2 linked regions of the Astyanax mexicanus genome follow. The protein of the gene in region 1 binds, or shares a complex with, the protein of each later gene. Links are inferred from orthologs where the notes say so. Each region holds a gene or a part of one and is shown in the gene's direction. Other genes may lie near its edges. The genes, in order: ca16b and cntn4.

Region 1 (12,540 bases):
CATTACATTGCATTTAGCCACATTAGCATTGGTGATTAGTTAGGTGCTGATGCTTGATGTTAAAACTGCATCACTGCAGCTCATTCTATCTAACATATTAGATGGAACTCCATCATCTCCTATAATGCAGTTCCATTGCTTCGCAACAGTAAAGTGCTCTAGGGCCTTATACACTTCTAGATGATGCTTGGCATTGGGCATAGTGATAATTAGGCTCATATGGATAAAACCTATAATCTATAGAGATTATACAGGGGTTGGACAATGAAACTGAAACACCTGTCTTATTTTAGTGTGGGAGGTTTCATGGCTAATTGGAGCAGCCTGGTGGCCAATCTTCATTAATTGCACATTGCACCAGTAAGAGCAGAGTGTGAAGGTTCAATTAGCAGGGTAAGAGCACAGTTTTGCTCAAAATATTGCAATGCACACAGCATTATGGGTGACATACCAGAGTTCAAAAGAGGACAAATTGTAGGTGCACATCTTGCTGGCGCATCTGTGACCGAGACAGCAAGTCTTGTGATGTATCAAGAGCCACGGTATCCAGGGTAACATCAGCATACCACCAAGAAGGACCAACCACATCCAACAGGATTAACTGTGGATGCTGTAAGAGGAAGCTGTCTGAAAGGAATGTTCGGGTACTAACCCGGATTGTATCCAAAAAAATTAAAACCACGGCTGATCAAATCACGACAGAATTCAATGTGCACCTCAACTTTCCTGTTTCCACCAGAACTGTCTGTCGGGACATAAATGATTGTAGTCTAAAAACAGGTGTTTCAGTTTCATTGTCCAACCCTTGTACTGTGTGTGTGTGTGTGTGTGTACTGTTGAACACCTGTGTCAGCAATGGATCCACCATAATGCATTTAAATTTACTAATTAAATGAGTTGTCCATATACTTTTGGACAGGGAGAGTACATTGTATACTATGCACTCCAAAAAAACAAACAATTATTTAGCATGCAATTGGGGACACGACGTCTGTCTTCGGTCATAGTGTGTGTATGTGTCTGTGTGTGCCTGTGTTTGTGTGTGGGTATGTGTGTGTATCTTCCAGGGGTCACCAGAGAGAGTTCCAGAAGAACAGGCAGATGGCCCACACTCTACATGCTCAGAACACTGTGACGGTCCCCAACAGCCCCTCTGAGAGAAGGGTAATTAAATACCGAATTTAATCAGATTCTTCAAATTAAAGTCCAGCTGGGCTTCTCTCCCAAATTCTCCTGCTGTTCATCATCCCACTGCCTCTCCTTTATATCAGCTGTCTGAGGAGCTCACTGAAGCCCGCTTACCAAGCCCACACCGACCTACCTGCTGCAGAGAGAGCCTGGAGGTGATAATTAGTGATAAAGTATTCAACTCACACTTTTGACAGAGTTAAGGAGAGCCAATGGACACTTAAAGCTTTCACAGAGCTGGCCTCAGCAAAGGAGGAAATCAGTCAGGTTTCATGCAGTCTGAGGTCTGAGGTGCCTGATGGAACTTACATGAACTTTTGTTCAGTTAACTCATCCTCTTCTTATTCTCTTTTAAAAGTAAAGGTGCTACAAGTTGATCTTTGAGCCCTGCCAAAGAAGAACTGCTTTTGGTTTCATGGGCTTCATAAACCAACCCTACTTTGGAAGTAATGCATTAATAAGAGCCCAGGCCTAAATATCTCAATATTGATACCAATTTTAAAGCTGGTGTCCGTAAGTTTTGGGATTTAGTGCCCTCTCTGGTGAGAATGAGTAATTCCACAGAGCATGCAGAAGAATCATTTTAAATTGGGCGGGTGTGATGTGGTCTCCTTTCAGAGCGGATGAATCAAATTCCAGGTTATGTTCAGTCAGAGAGAGAGAAAGCGCTCAGTCAGAAACTTCACTCCTTCGACTGTTTTTGTTCTTCACTCCTTCCTTTGTTTTTACTATGAGTGAATGAGCTACTGAGCTCTGAGTTTCCCCTTCTGAAGTCTCCATTGCTCCACCAGCTGCTCGTGTTCAGTAAAACTGAGCCGGATCTTCTTTTAGAGGCTGTACGTGTGGCGTAAGTACGTGGCCAGAGGAACTCCCACGAAAAGCAACCCAACACCCCAGTTTTTATAATGAATATATTAGGCTAAGCAGGGATATTGGTTTCAGCACACTGGTACCATTAAACACAATATTTTATCTCTTCTCCACTCATAAATGCTTCTGCTTTCAGTTTAGAAACAAAATAATACAGACTGCCACTTTAAAATTGAATCAGATAAATTCACTTAGCAGCTCATTCATGTTTGTTTCTTATTGCAGACACATGACTGTTAATCATGATGTAACATAAATGACAGAACAACAATTTCATAACTATTATTAACATTTGGTTCTAGAAATCATGTCAGAATTAGTTCTAAGGAACGTAAAACATTAATTTACGTAAGCTTTTGAATGGTTAAATAGTTGAAACAGAGCTGTAGAAGCAAATAATACACTTTAAAAGGAGCCAGCACTTCTACACTCTTTAAATAAGGTGAGATGAACGCACTCTGCTGTGATGCTCTCAGGATGTTTAGTATAGCAACCTCTTGTTCCCTATCATACACTCTGCACAAGGGACATTGTGATGCACTTTGCTATCTTATACACTGTCAACAGCCTATTTTTAAGCCTTGCACTTGTGTCGTTAAAATATAACAGAATAGGAGAAATGTTTCAACCATTTATCTGTTTTCTATTCCTTGCAGTATAAAAAGAGCCGATTTTTTACTGCTTAAAACATAATGCAACTCTTTGGACAAAACTGGGCTGATTTCACCTATTGATAAATACACAATAATCAATAATCTTCCACTGGTTCTGCTTGACAAGATAAATTTTAATACATTTATAACTAAATATGTAATCTGATGTATATGCATGTGTTATACTGTAAATCCCAATCCAGGTAGCCTTTAAATCAAGCGAGAATGTGAAATGCACTGATAGTTTCTTGCCACAGGTTAGAGGGCATACAAACAATTACAGCTGTAAATGAGACGTGCTTTTATCAGTGCAAGGCCAAATGAATCACAACGTTAATTGCTGGTGAATTGCCAGATGTAGAACTGCTGTTATTCCCTGTGTGTTATCTCCAGTGAGATACCCACAAACTGGGTGTGCCATCAAGGATTTAGTGAACAGCCTGTAGCTCTGTGGTGCCAACATTAGCCATCTTCATGCTGAAAAATAGAACAATATAGGCTGTGGCACTCTGGGGGGAGGGGCAGGCCTTCAGAAGCACGGCCAATGCCAAAGGCCTGGCAAACTTTCAGAACCGTGGACAGCGCCGGTCTCTGTGGCTTAAAGAGCAGGCACCCCATTCAGTGGAGAAAAGACAGAAAAAGAGAGAGAGAGAGAGAGAGAGAGAGACAACACACATCTCCTTCTCAGCCTGAGTAATAACAACACAAAGGAAAATGTCATTCATTATTCATTCGCTCCGTTATTAAACAGTTATGAGTAGCGATAAAGAAACTCCACAGATATATAGGAGGCAAATATACGGCTGTTTATATAGGCTATACATTTTATCCACACATCTATAGCCTTTAACACGTCCACTCTGTTGGTAATGGATGTTAAGCTGATTGGCTGAAAGTCAAGGCCATTAACGGGTTTACTAGAACATTTTATATAGATTACAGCATTGCTAAACACACCATGTTTGCAGCTTTAAAGGGTCAGATTAAAGTGCCAAAACACGGCAACAGAAAGGTTAAACAAGTTAATCAAGCTTAAATGTGTGTCCTTCTCTGTGTGTGTTCTTTAACACTTTAAAAATAAAGGTGCCAGAAAAAGTTTTTGGTGTGAGTAACATTTGGTTCCCAAAAGAACCTGTGGGCCTGAAGACATTTAAAATGTGTAAGTGATAAAAACCCTTTCAAACTGTGAAGAACCTCTATATAGGGCCATTTAGTGCTCTAAACAGTTGATTATAAGGCTTGTACCTTTAAAATACATACAAATTGTATGCATATATATATATATATATATATATATATATATATATATATATATATATACACACACAGCCAAACGCATATATGCATATTCAGTAATTTGGGAAAAAAATAAAACACCCTATTAATACTTATTTAAACTAATTTTACATTTTAGATGAAAGCAGCAGTTCTTTAGATTGCTTCTTTTAAATTGAACATAGTAGTAAATATATATATATATATATATATATATATATATATATATATATATATATGTATATATATATATAATTGCATTAATGTGCTTCTGCTACTATTCTTGCAAAGCTGCATATACCAGTGCCTCTCAAAATATTTGAATATAATAAAAAAAAAATACTTTATTTCAGAAATTCAGTTCAAAATGTATTATTATGTATTTTAATATTATATAAGACTCATTTGTACTTTTGGCAGTGTGGGCAGTGTGCCAAGTCCTGCTGGAAAATGAAATCCGCACCTCCATAAAACTTGTCAGCAGAGGGAAGGATGAAAAGTTTATTAAGTTATTACTGTTATTACTTACTGTTACTTCCTTACTGTTTTCCAGAGAAAAAAATATTATATCAAGTCCAAAGTCAGTCCCTGGAAGTGTCCAGTAGGTCCCATTACCTTTTTGTGGCTTTGTGTCGCTTTTACCTGAACAACCATGGTGCTGCTATTGGCACTGATACAAGGGCTAATGTGAAGATGGAGATTGAGAGATCAGAATGTCAAACTCTTAATCTCTTTCTTCACTAATCATAAGCCAAAGAAACACAGAAATAGAACTGAAGACAGCTTGCAAGATAAAACGGCACGCAACAAAATCCTCACTAAAATCACCAGATTCATTTACTCCCAATAGATACCGCACCATAATGCAGTAATTTAAAAATTATTTTGTAGCATGTTTGGTGCGATTACTCATTCTCACCAAAAACTTACAACAGACCATCACTTTAACTTTAACAGTATTAATAGTATTGAGAGATGGAGCTTACATAACTAAACAAATGCGTATATAAGGACTGTGCAAAAGTTTTAGGCATCAAAGCAAATTACACTAATCCATTTATCTCAGCAATATGAGTGTTTTACCTAAAAAAACATATAAATACAGTAAAAAGTAACAAGGAATTCTCAATTTGTGCATGTGTATATGTTCAGTTCTGTCAGCAGCTCACCTGATTTACCAATTTACCAAACCAGTTGTTGATATGATGAGAACTAGAATAATGTAAAGTAATACTAGTAATGCTAATGTTTTACTGAGCTAATACACACTTACTTCACAGAAAGACCCTTATTCTTTACAGAACTTCCCACAGGTGCCTAAAACATTTGCACACACACATTGATATATATATTGATATATAATATTTGTAAATTGTATTTTTATTCTTGTCAGGAAAATGTTTCTTTTACTATCACATTTAGTACTACTTAAAATGTCAAAAATTAGAATTTGACGCAGCTTATCAGCTGCAAATGATTCAATTGTGTTTGGAGAGGATGTGGGAGGAGCCTGACTTATTTTATCCTAATACATTAGTTTGATGTGATTGTTATAGTTGAGTGGATCAATATAGCCAGATCCAAAGAGCTCTCTCTGAGACCTTAAGAAAGAGGGTTGTAAAGGCAGATGGTTGACCAGCATTCCCACCATCACCGAGCTAGATTACCAGCAAGACCTAGCTGGATGCTCAGCATGGCTAAGCATGAATAAAATCTAATGAAGCATACACTATGTTGGTGACAAACTGGTTTACCAGTATAGGGCATGCTGGGTCTGAATGACCAGCTTCTTAACCACCGTGACAAACGAAGGCTTAGACCACCTAAAACCAGTTAACAGCAAATGCTGCTTTGTGCTGAATTTTCCAGAAATCTTCTATTACATTTACAGCATTTGGCAGACACTCTTATCCAGAGCAACTTGCAGAGTGCTTAGTCATTCACGTAGAACATTCAAGGAAAGTGTCGAGAGACCCTGGATTCTAGTTACTCTGAGATCAGATGCTCCCATGCATGAGCCACACAAGTTCAATTGCTAGTGATACAATTCTTCAGAGTGTAGAAATTACAGTACACAACTATGCAAGATCATCCAAAGAACAACAAGAACAAGATATAGTAATGCAACATAATCTTTAATAAGTATTAGTGCACTATGTGCTTATGGAAGAGGTTGGTCTTCAGCTGATGTTCACATATCAAGTGATTCTGCTGTTCAGACAATCAACATTTTAATAAATGTTTCTAATTGACTTTCCTGAATGACTGAGATTGGACCAAATGGTTTAAGGTCATGTAGAGGTCCTTTTAAACTTACTTACTGTAAAAAATGGCTTGGGCACGTGGGTCAGAGTAAGAGCATTGAAGCAAATCAGTGCCAGCATGCAAAAGCTGGTGGAGTCGTTTGCCTGCTGTAAATGGACGTTATGCAAATGCAGAGTCGTCCAGTAGCCAATCTTTAGCCGGTCTGACTCAACAACCGCTGAAGGAAGGCGCGTCCAGCCTTCGGCGCTAGGATCCGGAGGGGTGGTCTCTCTGTGCGCGCGCGTGTGTGTCTGTGTATGTGTGTGTGTGTGCATGCGTGCTCCTGCTTCCTGCCCGCTCGCGCTGCTGCTGCTGTAGAACTAATCCCTCAGTCAGAGCCCCTCGCGCCTCTTCCTTCACAAGTTCCTGCATGGAGCAGCGCGAGCGATCCGCGACAGTCCCCGGCTTTTCCTCGGCATAGCAAAGACGAGCAGGACCGCTGAGCTCCGGGACCGCGCGGAATTTTAATTATTGGACTTATACGGACGATGATGGAAGCGTGAAGGGGGCTCGCGCTGCATGAGGACGTCACCGAGAATTAACGTGTGTGCGTGTTTGCGTTTGCCTAACGTGGGCTGCCCGGTGTGATGTCCCGCGGAGCGCGAGCACGCAGCCCTGAACTGCTCGTGCGCGCTGAGATGAACTGCTGAAATCAGTGGTTTCATCTTCATCGTTTTCTTTTATGTTGATTATTATAGTCATTAGTATTAATAATACACGCGTCCTTTCAATCCGTGCGGGCGCGCTTCGCCATCAATGCGCATTCAGACATGTGGAGTCTACGGGAACCGCGCCGTCTCTCGGTCTTGGGCTTGACTTTGGCAGCTCTCCTCCTCCAGTCTTTCAGCTGCTATCCCGGTAAGTGGGCCTGAACACACTCCAGTACACCGAGCACTCAGTGCGTAAGTATTGTGGGCAGAATTTGAGCAAAAGTTCCTAAATTGTCCTTAAAAGCTCAACCACCCAAACCTGGCAACATCTAGCCAAACAATCAACCCAGCTGGCACACAACCGACCTTCAACGTTGAAATGAGGTTGAAATATGACTAAAGTAATGTCTGTTGTTTTTTCAACATTCAAACAAAGTTGAATCAACATTACCCAGCTGGCATTTCAAGGCTGAATCAACGTTGAACAACGTTAATGTTGTGGTTAAATCAACGTTTGATTTGGTGTTGATTTTGAAAAGTGATATAGCAACGTTGTTTCAACGTCATAAATTCAACCTTTGCTAAACCATGGCTTACTAAAATGAGAAAATCCTATGGTTAACAGAGTGTTAACAATATACTTACATGACTGTAGTAAAACTGAGTATAAAAAAGTGACCCACCACTACCAATCTGATTACTGAACATCTGATCTCAAAAACAGTGAAACAGTAAAACTATTAGAACATGAACATGGTATTAACTTAAAAAGCAGTTACTGCAAATAGAAGTAAAACACTTTTTCATTCCTCCATCCAACCGCTTTTAGAAATTGCTGATGAAATGTTAAATGCTGAGTTAAAAGGCAGAAGGACATTATTTAGGACATTATTCTGATTCAACTTAAAATTTCAAAGTTTGCACAACCATTTAACATTAAATGTTGATTCAACATTGTTTCAATGTTCAATCAATATAATGTCCTCAACCTTCTGCTTTTTGAATCAGCATTTAACATTTTTATCTACAAATGGTTGGATGGAGGAATGAAACAGTGTTTTACTTCTATTTGCAGTAACTGCTTTTTAATTTAACACCATGTTCTTTTAGTTTTACTGTTTTAGTGTTTTTGAGATCAGATGTTCAGTAATCAGATTGGTAGTGGTGGGTAACTTTCTTTATACTCAGCTTTATTACAGGGATGTAAGTTTATTGTTAACACTTTGTTAACCATAGGATTTTCTAATTTTAGTGAGCTATGGTTTATTAAAGGTTGAACATATGATGTTGCCATATCAATGTTGATTCACATTTTTTAAAATCAACACCAAATCCAATGTGGATTCAACCGTAACATCAACATTGATTTGGTTTTAGACATTTTTTGGATACTTAAACATGTCAAAGTGACCCGGCAACACCATTCCTGGTCCTAATAAATTAACATAATAGAAGGGGTTAAATCATAAATCAGTAACTGTAAATTAGAAAGAAAACGCATTGCTGTTGTGCTGTTGTCTTGAATGGTTGTATAAGCATTAGTTATTATATCTTGACTTAAATAAGACCACTTAATATATTTAGTGATATATGTTAGTGATATAAATGGAAAACAACACCAGAATCAAACTAGACAGTAAAGATTGTGAATGAATATATATGTATATATATTTTTTTTTTTTTTACATTTCATGCTTGTATTCTCTATAGAACCATTGTCGTTAACAAACACAAAAAGGATCAAATATATTAAAAGTGTACAGTGTAAGAATGAAAGCAACACATAATCTGTAGTTTAAAGGTGTAGAAACAACATCGCAATATCAATGTTGATTTATCTCTCAAAGTCAGAACATAATTTGACATTGATTTGATGCAGGATAGGGTGGCATGATATGAAGATTTCTATTTAGTCGCTGCATGGGTAGAAGGTCTATGCCCATATTACACACATGACTGTATTATTTATTGATACCCAAGACCATTTTGTCCAGAGCACTTAGTGATGGATCGGTTTACCTTGAGGAATTACATCTGTTTCCATTAAGCTTAAAAAAAGTACAGTCTGGAAATATGTCCAGTGTACTGATTCATGTTTAGATTCATGAAGAACCATTTTTGTAAAGGAAATATGAGTGCAAAGAACATTTCAATAGGAAAAGAACCTTTACATCACCTTCTTTACACCTTTGGAAGGTTCTTTTTACACGCTTTTACACCTTATCCTTTTTTATTCACCAGGATCTTATTTTCCTAAATTTGTTCTTTAAAAAAAAAGAGCTGTAATTGTCTACAGTTTTCAGGTTCATTTGGTGCACAGAACTGTTATATATAGAATGTTCATATAATGATGGATCCCAGTATCCTCATTAACACTGATGAATATCAGAATCCTTGTGAAAAAGCCTCATTTCTAAGTGTTTTTTGTGATAATGGGTGAATATTAAATCCCTAAAAGCTTATTTAATTGCCTCCCACACAAAACTGAAGCCAATTTAACTCAATTCATTATTGCAGTCATCTTCACGAGGTGAGGAATATTATCTATAGAATAATAATTTTAGGAAAAATGATTGTCTTGTAAGATTCTGCTGCTACAGATGCATTTTCACTATGGGTCAATTAAATATTGTGATATTATAGGTAATATAGGTAATATAATATGTCAAGTTAAAAGAACTATTGATCATTTAATCATTTAATAAACAGACATGGATTTGTGTTAATAGGAATTTCAAGCATATCAGTTATATTATATGGATGAAATATACTCAAACGCAAAAATAATGCAAAGAAAACAAGTTTATATTCATAAAGTTTTAAGAGTTCAGAAATCAATATTTGGTGTAATAACCCTGGTTTTTAGCACAGTTTTCATGCATCTTGGCATTCTTTGCCTCCACCAGTCTTACACACTGCTTTTGGATACATTTTTGCCACTCCTGGTGCAAAAATTCAAGCAGTTTAGCTTGGTTTGATGGCTTGCGGTCATCCATCTTGCTCTTAATTTTCAATTTGGTAAAATCAAGGAAAATTATCATCATTAAGTGGTATCTTATTTTTTTCCAGAGCTGTATATATGTATATATATATATATATATATATATATATATATATATATATATATATATCATTATTGTGATATATCATGTTGTCTTGATTGTATCATATCATATCATATAAATATTTAGCATCAGTTATCAATATTGTTATTGAAACTCTCTCACACTCGCACCTCAGTTTGATGTACTAAAGTTACTGCTTCATTACTTCATGCTGTAGTGCTTATCTTATAAGTAGGGTAATTAATCTAATAAATTGGGTGGTTAAACTATGTTAAACTGACACCAATAAATCTGTTTTCCCTGGTATATATTTTTTGGTTTATTAATTTCTCCTCTTTAGTAACACGGATGTCGTGAAGTATTGAAGAGAATTGTCTTGTGATAATATCAAGTACCACAGAATGACAGTATCATTACATCATCATCATTATCATGTGCAGTGTATCGTAATAATAGTGTTTAATGAGATGATTCTCTATGATTCTCACTCCTAGTAGAAATGCATAGACAAAATAGTCATTGCAAACATTACAACAGGGTGTGGGAACGTTATTTTGCTCGAGCATAATCCAGAGTAAGCCCTGTGTATATATTTAATGGAGTTAATTAATTGATTAGCAGGATTATTTAAGGTAGCAGTCAGTTTAGGCCAGATCTAATCCCACATAGAATTAGAATCTAAGCTGGTGCAGTTCTTCTCTTTCTAAGTGGGTTTTCAGAAAATAAATTTCTTTTTAAGATCAGTTGCTGATTGAGGCCCGTGCTTCTTTATGGCGCTGAAAATGTTTCCTCTATGGCATTGCTCAAAGAGCCCTTTGAAGAGTCTTCATTTTTAAGAGTGAAGGTTTTTGAATTGTGCACAGTTTCATGCCTATTTCATCCTCTAGCTGAAATAGCCATAAAGAACAATTCTATATTCTAGTTGACCTTGAGGTAAAATGACCTGGATAGCCCACTATACAGTTAATGTACAAAAACAGTATAGCTTCCTCAGTGACTCGGTGAGATGGTTCTGGGAAGTTCTTTAGTAGGGGTGTTAGAAAATATCGATATATTGAAGCATCACGTTATTATGTTTTGCAAAACTGTCTCAAAAACACAGTGTGGATTTTGAATTATCAGTCTTTAATGTAAAGATTGGTTTCAGACAGTGGTTTGTTTAGTGTTTTGTTTTTGCTTGCATAAAAAAGAACAGTTGCTTTTTAGAGTTTATGTACAGTGCCCTCCATAATTATTGGCACCCCTGGTTAAGATGTGTTCTTTAGCTTCTCATAAATTGAGTTTTGTTCAAAATAATATAGGACCACGATGGGAAAAAAAAGTAAAGTCCAACCTTTAACTCAAGTAAATTTTAAGGGGGAAATAAAATCCCTGACTAAGAAATAATTATTCTTCATAAAATCACCTGTTCCACAATTATTGGCACCCCTAACAATTCTATGTATGAACATTTAATTAGTAATTCACAACTTCCTGTTTCCCTGGGGTATAAATATGACGTGACACAGAGGCCATTTATCTTCAACATGGGAAAGACAAAGGAACATACCATTCAAGTGAGGCAGATGTGTGTTGACCTTCACAAGTCAGGCAATGGCTACAAGAAAATCGCTACTCGCCTACACCTGTCCATATCTACTGTCAGAGGAATTATTAAGAAGTTTAAAACAACTGGAACAGTGGTAAACAAGCCTGGACGAGGACGCAAGTTTATTTTGCCACCACGCACAGTGAGGAGGATGATAAGAGAAATAAAAAGTTCTCCAAAGCTCACTGTTACAGAATTGCAACAAATGGTAGCTTCTTGGGGTCACAAAGTCTCCAAAACAACCATCAGGCGCTATCTACATGCCAACAAGCTGTTTGGGAGGCATGCACGGAAGAAACCATTTCTCACTCACAATCATAAACGCAAACGTTTGGAGTTTGCTAAGCGGTACTATGACTTCAACTGGGACCGTGTGCTTTGGTCAGATGAAACAAAGATAGAGCTTTTTGGCAACAAATGCTCTAAGTGGGTCTGGCGTAACACAAGAGCTGAGTATGCAGAAAAGCACCTCATGCCCACTGTGAAATACGGCGGGGGATCAGTGATGCTGTGGGCCTGTTTCTCTTCTAAAGGCCCTGGGAACCTTGTTAGGGTGCATGGCATCATGAATGCTCTAAAATACCAGGACATTTTAAAACAAAATCTGGTGGCTTCTGCCCGAAAGCTGAAGATGGGTTGTCACTGGGTCTTTCAGCAAGATAATGACCCTAAACATGTGGCCAAATCTACACAGAAATGGTTCACCGCACACAGAATCAAGCTCCTCCCATGGCCATCTCAGTCCCCAGACCTCAACCCCATTGAAAACCTGTGGGGTGAGCTGAAGAGGAGAGTGCAGAGGAGAGGACCCAGGTCGTTGGATGATTTAGAGAGAATGTGCAAAGAGGAATGGTCAAAGATCCCTCTTTCTGTATTCTCCCATCTTGTGAAACATTACAGGAGAAGATTAGGTGCTGTTTTGTTGGCAAAAGGGGGTTGTACAAAGT
Region 2 (11,930 bases), about 9.9 Mb from region 1:
TGACGAATGAAGCCAGAATCTGAAATGTGATTAGAAATGGAAAGGGAATATCAGCCGTTATTTGGTAACAAGCCTGTGGCCACTGATAAAAAGGCCTGATAACTGCAGCTTCCTGTGTAATGCAGGGCTAAATCCGTTCCGCCGCTCAGAGTCTGGCTAATGTTGGCTGAACTCGCTCTCCGCTGGACTGGATTCATGTCTTTGTTGGAGGAGAGATAGTTGAGGGTGGCTCTCAGCACCGGTGACAACACTGACCTTGTCTCGGGTAAACATCTCGAGTATCTTCACCATGATAAAAACCGCGTCTGACTTTACTCTACTGAAAATAACGCTCAGTCCTGCAGGATTGAAGCTTCTTCAGCTGCTAAAACTGTGAAAATTACCAGCCTTGTTAATTTTTTAACATTCCACATTACTGGTTAATAAAGCTCCTCATACCTCTCTCCTGCAGGAAGGGAATTTTCTTGAGTTAATGAGTTATCAACAATCCGCGTGCACGCGGAATATCAACGTGACGGTGGAGCTCACGCACCTGCCCGGCATCGATAAAACGGAGAGCGGCGTAATTGATTTATCCTGGTCCGGAGCGAGATAACTCCACACTTAGAGCAGTACAACTCGCTCTATTTCACGGTTCAGAGGCTCTGCTATCCTTTAGCTAAAAGACGGACAGTCTGAGGTTAAATGTCTCGGTCTGAGAGTCATTAGCGCTGGTGAAGTGAGTGTGAACAGACGTGACTCTGAGTCGAGTTCAGCTGGAAATCTCCAGAAGCTTCAGCTCTCAGATTCCATCAAACAGCCTGAGAGGAACTCCCTCCAACTCCAGCCCTGATCAGTGCTGTCTCAGTACACTACCCACAATGCACTGCAGATTAAAACCATATTTATAAAGAAACAGTGAAGCGTGCAGAGAAACTACCTGAACTAATATTAGAATAATATTAGAACTTCTCCTAAACAATAATCCGTAATCCTCACTGAAGAAACGTCCAAAACATCCCTAATCTCACTGTGTTCTACTGAAATCCTGCACTTAAAGTGATAATCCGGAAGATTTGGTGATTCAGAGATCTGGGGTTATAGTGATGTTTATTTATGATAGAATTGTAGCATAGAGAGCAAAATAAAAGTCTCAGAGCTTTTATTGAGGTTTGGTGAAACAGAAACACACAGTCGTGTTATTTAAACAACAAATAAAACACTGGAAACAGATCAGTTAGCTGGTTAACATATGTTTCAGAATGACCTGCTGTACTCTCTCTCTCTCTCTCTCTCAGACTCCGGCCGCTGATGGAGAAATAGCATGACCTACTGTACTCTCTCTCTCTCTCTCTCTCTCAGACTCCGGCTGCTGATGGAGAAACAGCATGATCTACTGTACTCTCTCTCTCTCTCTCTCTCTCTCTCTCTCTCAGACTCCGGCTGCTGATGGAGAAGCAGCATGATCTACTGTACTCTCTCTCTCTCTCTCTCTCTCTCTCTCTCTCTCAGACTCCGGCTGCTGATGGAGAAACAGCATGACCTACTGTACTCTCTCTCTCTCTCTCTCTCTCTCTCTCTCTCTCGGACTCCGGCTGCTGATGGAGAAACAGCATGACCTACTGTACTCTCTCTCTCTCTCTCTCTCTCTCTCTCTCTCTCTCTCTCTCTCGGACTCCGGCTGCTGATGGAGAAACAGCATGATCTACTGTACTCTCTCTCTCTCTCTCTCTCTCTCTCTCTCGGACTCCGGCTGCTGATGGAGAAACAGCATGATCTACTGTACTCTCTCTCTCTCTCTCTCTCTCTCAGACTCCGGCTGCTGATGGAGAAATAGCATGACCTACTGTACTCTCTCTCTCTTTCTCTCTCTCTCTCTCTCTCTCTCTCTCTCTCAGACTCCGGCTGCTGATGGAGAAACATAATGACCTGGGATTTAAACAAGGATCATAGTGATGAGTGATTCTTCACGTGTTAAATTGTTCAGATTTTGTTAGAAATTGCAGGATTTTTTTTAAATCTTTACTGTGAGTGTAAGTGTGTATAGTGTGTGTGTGTATAGTGTGTGTGTGTAAGTGTGTAAAGTGTGTGTGTGTGTGTGTGTTTAGTGAGTTGGTGTGTGTTTTTAAGAAGGGACAGTTGACTGAATTAAAGTCGGAGTATCCGGCGTTGGTCTCTCTGAACTGCTGCTCTTTTTTTGCGGCGTTTCTCCTCAGTTAATCCCATCAGGAATTCAATTTACTTCCCCTTTAATTATCGTCTTTCCCATTGACTGTTTTGAAAGGAGAAGATTTTCTTAAATCCCACTTACTATAATTAGGGCTTAGGCGTGGATAAAGAAAAATTGAAGGGATCAAAGGTTGAATTCATTTGTGGGAGCGAGCCGAATCGCAGCACTACCCCTGATTGGACGGCGATACGGCGCTGTCGTAATTATGTAAATAACACTGTGAAGATCCCGCCCAGCCGGCGCTGCGGTGTTCACCGGGTCCGGCTGCAGAGTTTCTGCTGTGTTTCATTCAGAGCCGAGTGTGTGAAGGGGTGTGTAGTGTGTGTAGTGTGTAGGGGGTGTGTGTACTGTGCGTGTGTGTTAAGTGTGTGTTGTGTGTTTGACAACAGGCTTGTTAGCTTGTGCCATCTAGTGGATTATCTCCATCAGGCCGGTCGCTGCGTCGCGTCTCCGGCTGCTGATTGATCTCCTGAAGTCGGACTGATTTACGCAGAACTGATCTGATAATCCATCAGCTGCACGTTTTAATTAGTTTCTCCACAAAAATCCAGAAGAAGCAGAGAAGCTTCAGCAGCTCGAGGAGCAGATCTGATTCTACACGCTGAACACTGAACCTGGTTTAAATTTAGCAAAGCTACAGAAAATTGGAAAAGATAAACCTTTACATCAATCTGAGCTTTTAAAAGCTTCCTTACACTGTTAAATCTGTTTTATATCCGAAAATGAAAAAACTGAAATAGTATGGAAAATTTAAGTTTTATTTTATTAACGTTTGCTTAACTTCATTCAGTAGTTAACGTGCATCCAATCCTGCATTTCAAGCCTGTAAAACATAAAATTATAAATTAAATATATATTGCAAAAAAAAAACTCCACTCTGCCATTTTTCCAATTTTTCCCTACAACACACAAAACTAAAACCAAGTGATGAAGTGTTTCTGTTATTTTGTCACATTCTTTCTGTAAACTCGTCCTGAACTCATCAGTACAGGGTCATTTTCACATTTTACATTTCTAAATTCTCTGCAGCTTTATTCTCTACTTGGTTCAGATAACTTTATGCTGCTTTACTCCTGGTGTAAAAGTTCAAGCAGTTCAGTTTGGTGGTTTGATGGTTTGTGATCATCCATCTTCCTCTTGATTATATTCCAGAGGTTTTTAATTTGGTCAAATCAAAGAAACTCATCATTTTATGTGCTCTTTTATTTTTTTCAGAGCTGTATTTTGGGTAAATGCAGTCTGTGGTTGTTTGAGATTAAAATGTTTTATCTACAGCATCACTTACAGAACTCTTGTAAATACCTGTATTTGTGAGAGTGTGTGTTGGTGTAGAAAAGCCCAGGAGTCGTATTTCTCAGGCAGTTTATCTCGGATTTTGGAGTTCAGCTCCGGCGTCACCGTATGCAAATCAGACCCCGGTCACACCGCAGTGCAGAAACGCACATAACAATGCTGTCAAAACCCTTCACTCTCGCGCCCTGCAGCTCTCGCGCTACAGCACCGCCATCGCCATCACCGCCGCCGCGGGGAGCCGGCGGGTCAATAAGCTCACGCTATTGATCAGGACTCTCACTGAGAGGCTTAAGATACTCTCTCTGACCTGCAGACCCCGCAGACCCCCGTCCACACCACACCTACACATCCATCCACTGAGTTACACTGAGTACTCTAACGGTACTGAGAGATGGAGAAGTTCTGCTCCTCCCACTGGAGACGGATGTGTTCTCATTAAAGAGAATAAATATTTCATCAGATAATGTACATCTCAGAGCTCACTACTACACCTCCTTCCTGAGAGAGAGAGATCCTGCTGATCCTGCTCTTCACTAAAAACAGTGAACAGCATCACCATGATGAGAAAGGGGGGGGTTGAGGGGTAGAAAGTTGTAGGGGGTTGTTGGCGGTTGTTGGGGTAGAAGTTTGGGGGTAGAAAGTTGGGGAAGTAGAAGGTTGTAGGTGTTTTTGGGGGGTAGTAAGTTGTTGGGGGTAAAAGGTTGGGGGCCGAATGTTTTTGGGGGTAGGAGGTTGTTGTGGGTAAAATTTTGGGGGTAGTAGGTTGTTGGGGGTAAACGTTTGGGGGGTAGAAGGTTGTTGAGGGGTAACAGGTTGGGGTGTAGGAGGTTGTTGGGGGGTAGGAGGTTGTTGGGAGGTAGGAGGTTGTTGGGGGGTAGGAGGTTGTTGGAGTGTAGAAGTTTGGGGTGTAGGAGGTTGTTGGGGGGTAGGAGGTTGTTGGGGGTAGGAGGTTGTTGGGGGGTAGGAGGTTGTTGGGAGGTAGGAGGTTGTTGGGGGGTAGGAGGTTGTTGGGGTGTAGGAGGTTGTTGGGGGTAGGAGGTTGTTGGGGGGTAGGAGGTTGTTGGGGGGTAGGAGGTTGTTGGGGGGTAGGAGGTTGTTGGGGTGTAGGAGGTTGTTGGGGGGTAGGAGGTTGTTGGGGTGTAGGAGGTTGTTGGGGGGTAGGAGGTTGTTGGGGGTAGGAGGTTGTTGGGGGGTAGGAGGTTGTTGGGGGGTAGGAGGTTGTTGGGGGGTAGGAGGTTGTTGGGGGGTAGGAGGTTGTTGGGGTGTAGGAGGTTGTTGGGGGGTAGGAGGTTGTTGGGGGGTAGGAGGTTGTTGGGGGGTAGGAGGTTGTTGGGGGGTAGGAGGTTGTTGGGGGGTAGGAGGTTGTTGGGGTGTAGGAGGTTGTTGGAGTGTAGAAGTTTGGGGTGTAGGAGGTTGTTGGGGGTAGGAGGTTGTTGGGGGTAGGAGGTTGTTGGGGTGTAGGAGGTTGTTGGGGGGTAGGAGGTTGTTGGGGGGTAGAAGTTTGGGGTGTAGGAGGTTAGGTGGTAGGAAGTAAATCACCTGGAGATTAGCAGTGCTGTTGTTTTGCTGTTTTATTAATCAATGACTCCACACTGTGAGTTATTGATCTGTACTGGTGATCAGTGTGATTAATTGTGATTAGATGTTTGTGTTACAGGATGTGAGCAGAAAGTGAATCCGTTTTTTTGCTGATGAGTCAAAAATAATATAAAACAATAGTTAAAGACCCATTTTCTACTTTTTGTTTGTTTTGTTGGGTGTATGAATGCACTTCTATTAGACATTATATCACTAGTTTTAATACCATTGATGAAAAAAATAATTAATAGTGTTTTTGGTGTGAAATTGTAGAGAATTGAAGAGATTTCTTTACATTGGTGGTGAATAGATCAGACATTTGCCAACCTTTTAATTATGTCAACATTTTTATATAAAAAAAACTAGATCTTCTCTCAAATATTTATTTTTAAGTGAAAGTTGGGAGAATTCAGAAGTCTTGAGTTGATACAAAGTTACATTTTTGGTATTGGGCCATTATATGTATGAATATTGGGCATGATAGAATGTGGTGAAGTTCAGGGGGTATGAAGACTTTTGCAAGTCGCGGTACCTCAGTGTATAATAAATCAGATCAGAAGCTGCAGAATCCGGAGCTGCTGATCTACAGCAGAATCCTCCTGGTTGGACCGGACCGGGCTGCGGGACCGCAGGCTGGGTTTTATTTGGGTCGCTCGCGGATCGTCGCCGGTTGGAGCGCGTGGGAGGCGCCGCCTCTCGGAGTCTGCGCGCGACTCCTCCCCGAGCTGAGCGCGGGATACGCGCTCAATCCCTGCAGCCTCGCCGCCGCGCGCTCCCGCTCCCGACACCTGCACCAGCACCAAGAGAGCGTGTGTGTGTGTGTGTGGGCGTTCGCGCGCGTGCATGTGTGTGTATGAGTGTGTGTGAGGCAGTGTGCGGCGCGGTGCAGTGTGTGCGGTGCGGGGTTGTGTGTGTGCGGGGTCGGTGCGGTTCGGATGCTCGAGCTGCGGAGGGAAACAGCCCGCGCGCCCTGAGGAGGAGGAGAGGAGCTCGCGCTGCACAGTGAGTATCTGAGACCCGGAGACCGCGGGGCAGCGCCGAGCCGCCGCCGGCCAGAGCAGCGCGCAGAGCGGCCAGGGGAGCGGCTCAGCCCGGGGGAGGAGCGGGGAGGCGCGGGGGTTAGTGACGCGGCGCGCTGAGACTCGGAGGAGCGGGAGGAGAGGAGCTTCTAACCGGCCACCGGATACACCAGCCCCGCTCCTCACTGCGCTTTATTAATATTCATAATTACACTAACTATACTCATTTTACTATCAATACTTCTATACCAATAATACTGTGCTTCATTAATACTTATTATACTAATAATACTATACTAAAAACACTATTATACCAACAATACCGCGCTTTATTAATACTATTACTATACTCATACTAAACTATAATGCTCATATTACTAACAATACTACTATTAATACTACTATACTTATAAACCTGCTTTACTAAAATACTTTTATTACTGACAATACTGCTATACTAATAACACTATTATATTAATACTTAACACTACTATACTGATTTACTATCAATAATCATTTCTTACAATACTACTGCTTATACTACTATACTGTTAACACTACTATACTCATAATACTTTACTAACACTAATTATGTTACTAACAATACTACTAATAATGCTACTATACTATTAACACTATCATATTAATAACAACTAAACTTATAATGTTGCTTTACTGTCAATACTCATCACTAACAATACTCATATTTCTAACAATACTCATATTACTAACAATACTCATATTACTTACAATGCTACTAATAAAATATTATACCCACAATACTGCTTTACTAACAATACTCATATTACTAACAATACTATACTATTGGTACTACTATAATAATAATACTGCCTTTATAATAATGCTCATATTACTAATAATACTCATTACTAACAATAGCATTTTACTATTGATACTACTATACTAATAATACGGCTTTACAAATAATACTCATATTACTAACAATACTATGCTAATAACACTACCATACTGTTAATACAACTATACTAATCATACCATTGTATTAACACTACTATACTGATAATACTGCTTTACTAATAATACTACTATACTAATCATACTACTATACTGATAATACCACTACTAATATTAATATTAGCAATCAATATTATGATACTGATACAACTACTTCTACTAACAATAATAATACTACTACTGTTAGAGATATTGATACTAAAACTAATACTAATATTACTAATAATACTACTTTAATACTAATAGTAATCATAGTAATACTGAAACAACAACTGCTTTTAATAACAATACTACTACTAGTAATGACAATACTAATAATACTACTTTAATTATAATGCTAATAATAATCTTTTTAGTAATGATAAAACAACAAATACTACTAATAACGATGCTATTACTATTAATACTACTACTAATGAAATTAATAATAAATAACTCCTACTACTGAATAATTAATGTAATTCTGAAACATCTTCTGTTAATATTAAACTACTACACAAATTAATACTGCTGATAGTACTGGTGATATTAGTTTTTTTAATTTTGTTACACAGCAGGTTTATCAGTGTAAATCAACACTAGTTTTGAATTTATACCTCGAGTTTTTGATTGTAACACTTACGTCGTTTTTTAAACATAAAATATTAGCTGTGTATTATAACTAACTTTATTATAGAAATTTATTTATACATACGCTGTCGTATCAAATTTCAGATTAAAGTGTTTTAAAGTTGTGATTCTATACTGTTAGTGTTATAGAGGTTGTATATAGTAGCAGTGTAGTGTTTTCACTCGTAACTGTCGTGTTTTTGCTGTATAGAAGATTCTTTATAGATTGAGGTTCTTCGCTCTAGTAAAATGGTGTTTTAATAGTTATTGTTTTTATACGCGGTGGTTTAGTTTCACGGTCTGGGATTTATCATAGATCAGTTTCAATCTTTCAGTGGAAAATCTTCCTGCAGGATGTTTTGTAGACTAGGCTTAATCCCTGTCTCTGAAACAGTCCCTGTATAAAATATATATACAAATACATTTAAATATATAAACTGTCAGACTGTATTCACTGTATTTTCACATCACTTTCACATGTCTTTACTCCAGCTGTATTTACTCAGCTCTATTACAGTCTGTACTCTAGTATATATTTATATGATATATTGATGTAGTTTGTGCATTAATTCAGTTTGAGTTCTGATATTGACTCTCCTGCTGCTGCTGCTGCTGCTGGTATTATGGTTGTTGTTAGATAGATAATATACATATAATATATATTATAAATATAAATATGCATACATTATAAAATAGTTGTGAGAAGTGAATATGTGAATACCCAGTCATGAGTAAATGTACTTTATGATTGTTGTTGTTTCTGCTGGAGACTGAACTTCTCTCTGTGAGGTTTTTGCGTCTGGGTTGTTCCTGGATGTTTAATCTGCAGCGTCTGCTCGGTGTGTGTTACGCGGGATTAGCGTGACGGTGGTGATCTGAAACGGTCAGAACGGGACGGAGCTCATCTACGAGATTGGCGTCGCGTTTCACAGATGAAAAGTGCAGATGTTGGTTAATCTGCTCTCTCTGTCCGAATCGTTTAATCCGGCCGGACCGGCTGATCTGAGCTCAGCTAAAGTCCTCTCAGAAACTCAGAGAGACTCCGGCCCTGACCCGAATCAGAAAACCCATAACCGGGTTCTGCTTCTGCAGAGAAACACACTTTAATACTTGTATTGTAACGAGTGTGAAGGACGTTTAACATGATTATTTAAGGGTTTTATTATCTAAAATGATCTAAAATTATATCACAATATTTCATGGTATTTCTGCAATAACGATACTCTTGGCAATATGACAAAACACTGAATTAAAAATATATATTTAAGAATACACTAATGTTACTGCAACAAAATGAAAATTACATTTTATTACTGCATATGATACAATATGATATTTCACACCCCTAATAACTGAGATATTAAGAAATACAAGAATTTTATCAGATTTACAGTAACAGAAGTCAGTGATCCAGAATATCATGATACTAATAATAATAATGCACTCCATATATCTCCACATATCCAGGATTAAAGTAAAATAAATGATACTGGACAGATATAATCTGTCTCTAGTAGATATATAATGGGAAATGAGAACAGTGTGAATTTTTCTTTTGATAAAAACAGTAAAAAGGTAAAAAGAACCCTGATGTGATAATTAGGGGGGGGTGTTATGGCTCCATATTTCAGGGTATAATATCATATTTATTCAAAAAAAGTTGGCGATATTATTGTGTACAATATGATATGGATCACCCCAACTCACATACGGTTCTTCAGTGGCATTACAGTGAGTTATTTGCACTATGGCTGGATGATGTGACTAAATACTCGTATCTTGATAAATCTCAGAAAAATATAAATATACTATATATGTGACAGTATGATAAATCCTTAATAAAGTATAATGTTGATTATGTTTTGTAATGTTCATTTTTATTTAACACCATAAATGATATAAAGAGTTTAAGTAGTAAATAGTTAAGTGTTTATTATTGAATCAGTATTACTCCGGCTGCTTTTAATCGCAATGTTTCAGTGATATAATAGTAAAATATTGTATTCTTTAGTCGTTTAGTCGAGGTGAATCCCTTGTTGGGGGGGGGGGGGGGGGGTTGCTGTGGAGGGTCTCTGTTTTTGTTGATGATTTATTGTTGTTTATAAAGGTAAAGGGGGGTGGTTGGGGGGTTGTGGTGACGTTGCTGGTGTTTCACTGGTTCTTGCTGGATAATTAGTCTCTTCCTGATGGAGAATTTAACCAGTAAACGCTGCTGTTCTTCCTGTTTGTTGTCGAGACGTTCGTCTTAAATATAAAGAGCTGAAGGAAACACCGTCATCTCAAATAAATCACATTTATATATGGTAACCCACAGCAGCTGTGATATTACTATATAATGATATTTTATATTGTGTATATATTGATATATTGATTTAAGCTTTTTAAACTGTACAGTATTGACTGTTTCTCTATAACATCACTTATCAGTGTTTTAATGTTTAGTTTTGCGAATATTACTTTAATATAATGTATAATGTTAGTATTTCTCTAGTTGAGATTGTTGTGCAAGAAATGTTCTAATAATGTTGTGATGAGAAACATTATTATGTCATTATTATGTTATTTCTGCAGCATTATTTATAAAACGGTACAGACTGAACTTCCTGAAAACTTTGGAAAACATCTCTGTTAACTCTGTTAGCTGGGGGGGGGGGGGGATACTGGTGTGGGGAGGTTTGGGTCTGGGGGCTCCAGACGGTTCTGTTCTGTCAGTCAGAGCTTTAGGTTTTTTAGATTAGATTAGATTAGATTAGATTAGATTATAAAGGGTGTCCGGATACTTTTGGACAGGTACACTATTGGTTCTTGGCCTCCAGCCAATTAATTATTCAGATGTTCTCCTGGGTTTAGTGTCATGGATTAGATGATGTCACTGAGAGGAATAAATAACATTAAACTGTGCCTCAGCAGAAGTGTGTGTGTGTATAGTGTGTGTGTGTGTATAGTGTGTGTGTGTGTATAGTGTGTGTGTATAGTGTGTGTGTGTGTGTATAGTGTGTGTGTGTATAGTGTGTGTGTGTGTGTGTATAGTGTGTGTGTGTGTGTATAGTGTGTGTGTGTGTATAGTGTGTGTGTGTGTGTGTGTGTGTGTGTGTATAGTGTGTGTGTGTGTATAGTGTGTGTGTGTGTATAGTGTGTGTGTGTGTGTGTGTGTATAGTGTGTGTGTGTGTGTATAGTGTGTGTGTGTGTATAGTGTGTGTGTGTGTATAGTGTGTGTGTGTGTGTGTGTGTGTATAGTGTGTGTGTGTGTATAGTGTGTGTGTGTGTGTGTGTGTGTGTGGTTGGGGAGAGTAATCCTGGCATCTGTGTCTGAGCTTTTCCACCGACTGCAGAGTTCTGAACAGATCCGAGTTTAAACCCAGCATTTATAAAACAGCACTGTAGAGCTGCACGATACTGGAGACATGATACATCGCTGATGTCCTTTTTTCTGCAGTATATAGCACAATATTAAACAACGCTGGGTCCATGACATCACTAGCCCCGCCCCCCCGCGTGTGTGCTGTCTGGCATCCGGACCAATCAAGAGCTGAATCAGCACAAAGTTCTCAAAACCCGAGAAAAACAGCAAAAAAACAATAATCGGCCCTTTAATCAGCATTTAAATGTCTTTTTTAAAAGGTAAATAAGAGCGTTTGTTTTTCTGGGATTAAAAGTGTGAATTCAGCTGTAACTGGAAATATCTGCACTGCTAAACTGTGCTGGACTGAGGAGCACAGCTTTCCACACGTGCTCACGTTTACAAGCACGTACCCAACCATGTGGATGGAGGTCATGCAGTTACCCAGTGTTGACTCCTCCCCCTCCCCCTCGCGCTTCTCAGGCAGCAGCAGCCTGTCACTCACACAGACACAGAGACAGCGCTGTGCATCTACTTCTTATGTCAAGAATCAAAACATTAAAACATGACCTGTTTGATTGAATCCCCTTAAGTGGCATCATACGTAGTAATTTAGTAATGAATATTTTGTTTTTGCTCAGATCCAAATCTCAGTGATGAGTTATATATGAGTTATTATATCTGTTTTATACAGTAATGAGGGATAATTACCCATAAATTTCTGAATATAAATTATAGAATTGGACGCTGACTCTGAATAGAATGATAATAAACAGGGAGGCTGAAGGTGATGATGGATGATGAAGAACAAGGCCGACCTGAAGAGAAGAGGATTGTGAAGAATGACCTTCTGTACGGCCAAGAGAGAGAGAATGAGAGAGAGAG

What was found.
Region 2: the proteins of ca16b (region 1) and cntn4 are in contact, whole or in part, in a crystal structure (PDB 3KLD), measured with the Mus musculus proteins. The link is inferred for Astyanax mexicanus from reciprocal best matches to the Homo sapiens genes PTPRG and CNTN4. Residues at the interface, in NP_033007.2 of Mus musculus: Lys222, Val225, His226, His227, Lys229, Phe288, Thr290, Gln293, Asp294, His295, Val296, Lys297, Ser298, Val299, Glu300, Tyr301; in NP_001103219.1 of Mus musculus: Thr128, Arg129, Ser130, Val132, Ser133, Arg135, Gln138, Gly139, Met140, Val141, Leu142, Leu143, Cys144, Gly145, Val219, Met220, Gly221, Glu222, Tyr223, Glu224, Pro225, Lys226, Glu228, Leu250, Asn304.

The regions. Positions count from the first base shown.
Region 1 is NC_064412.1:10,142,409-10,154,948, reverse strand, and holds the start of ca16b (receptor-type tyrosine-protein phosphatase gamma), read left to right. Parts: upstream 1-6,532; 5' UTR 6,533-7,060; coding exon 7,061-7,148; intron 7,149-12,540.
Region 2 is NC_064412.1:221,138-233,067, reverse strand, and holds the start of cntn4 (contactin-4), read left to right. Parts: upstream 1-5,868; 5' UTR 5,869-6,082; intron 6,083-11,930. Other genes in the region: uncharacterized protein LOC125802241, read right to left, coding at 4,055-5,068, 5,668-5,868. UniProt on the Homo sapiens protein: Contactins mediate cell surface interactions during nervous system development. Has some neurite outgrowth-promoting activity. May be involved in synaptogenesis.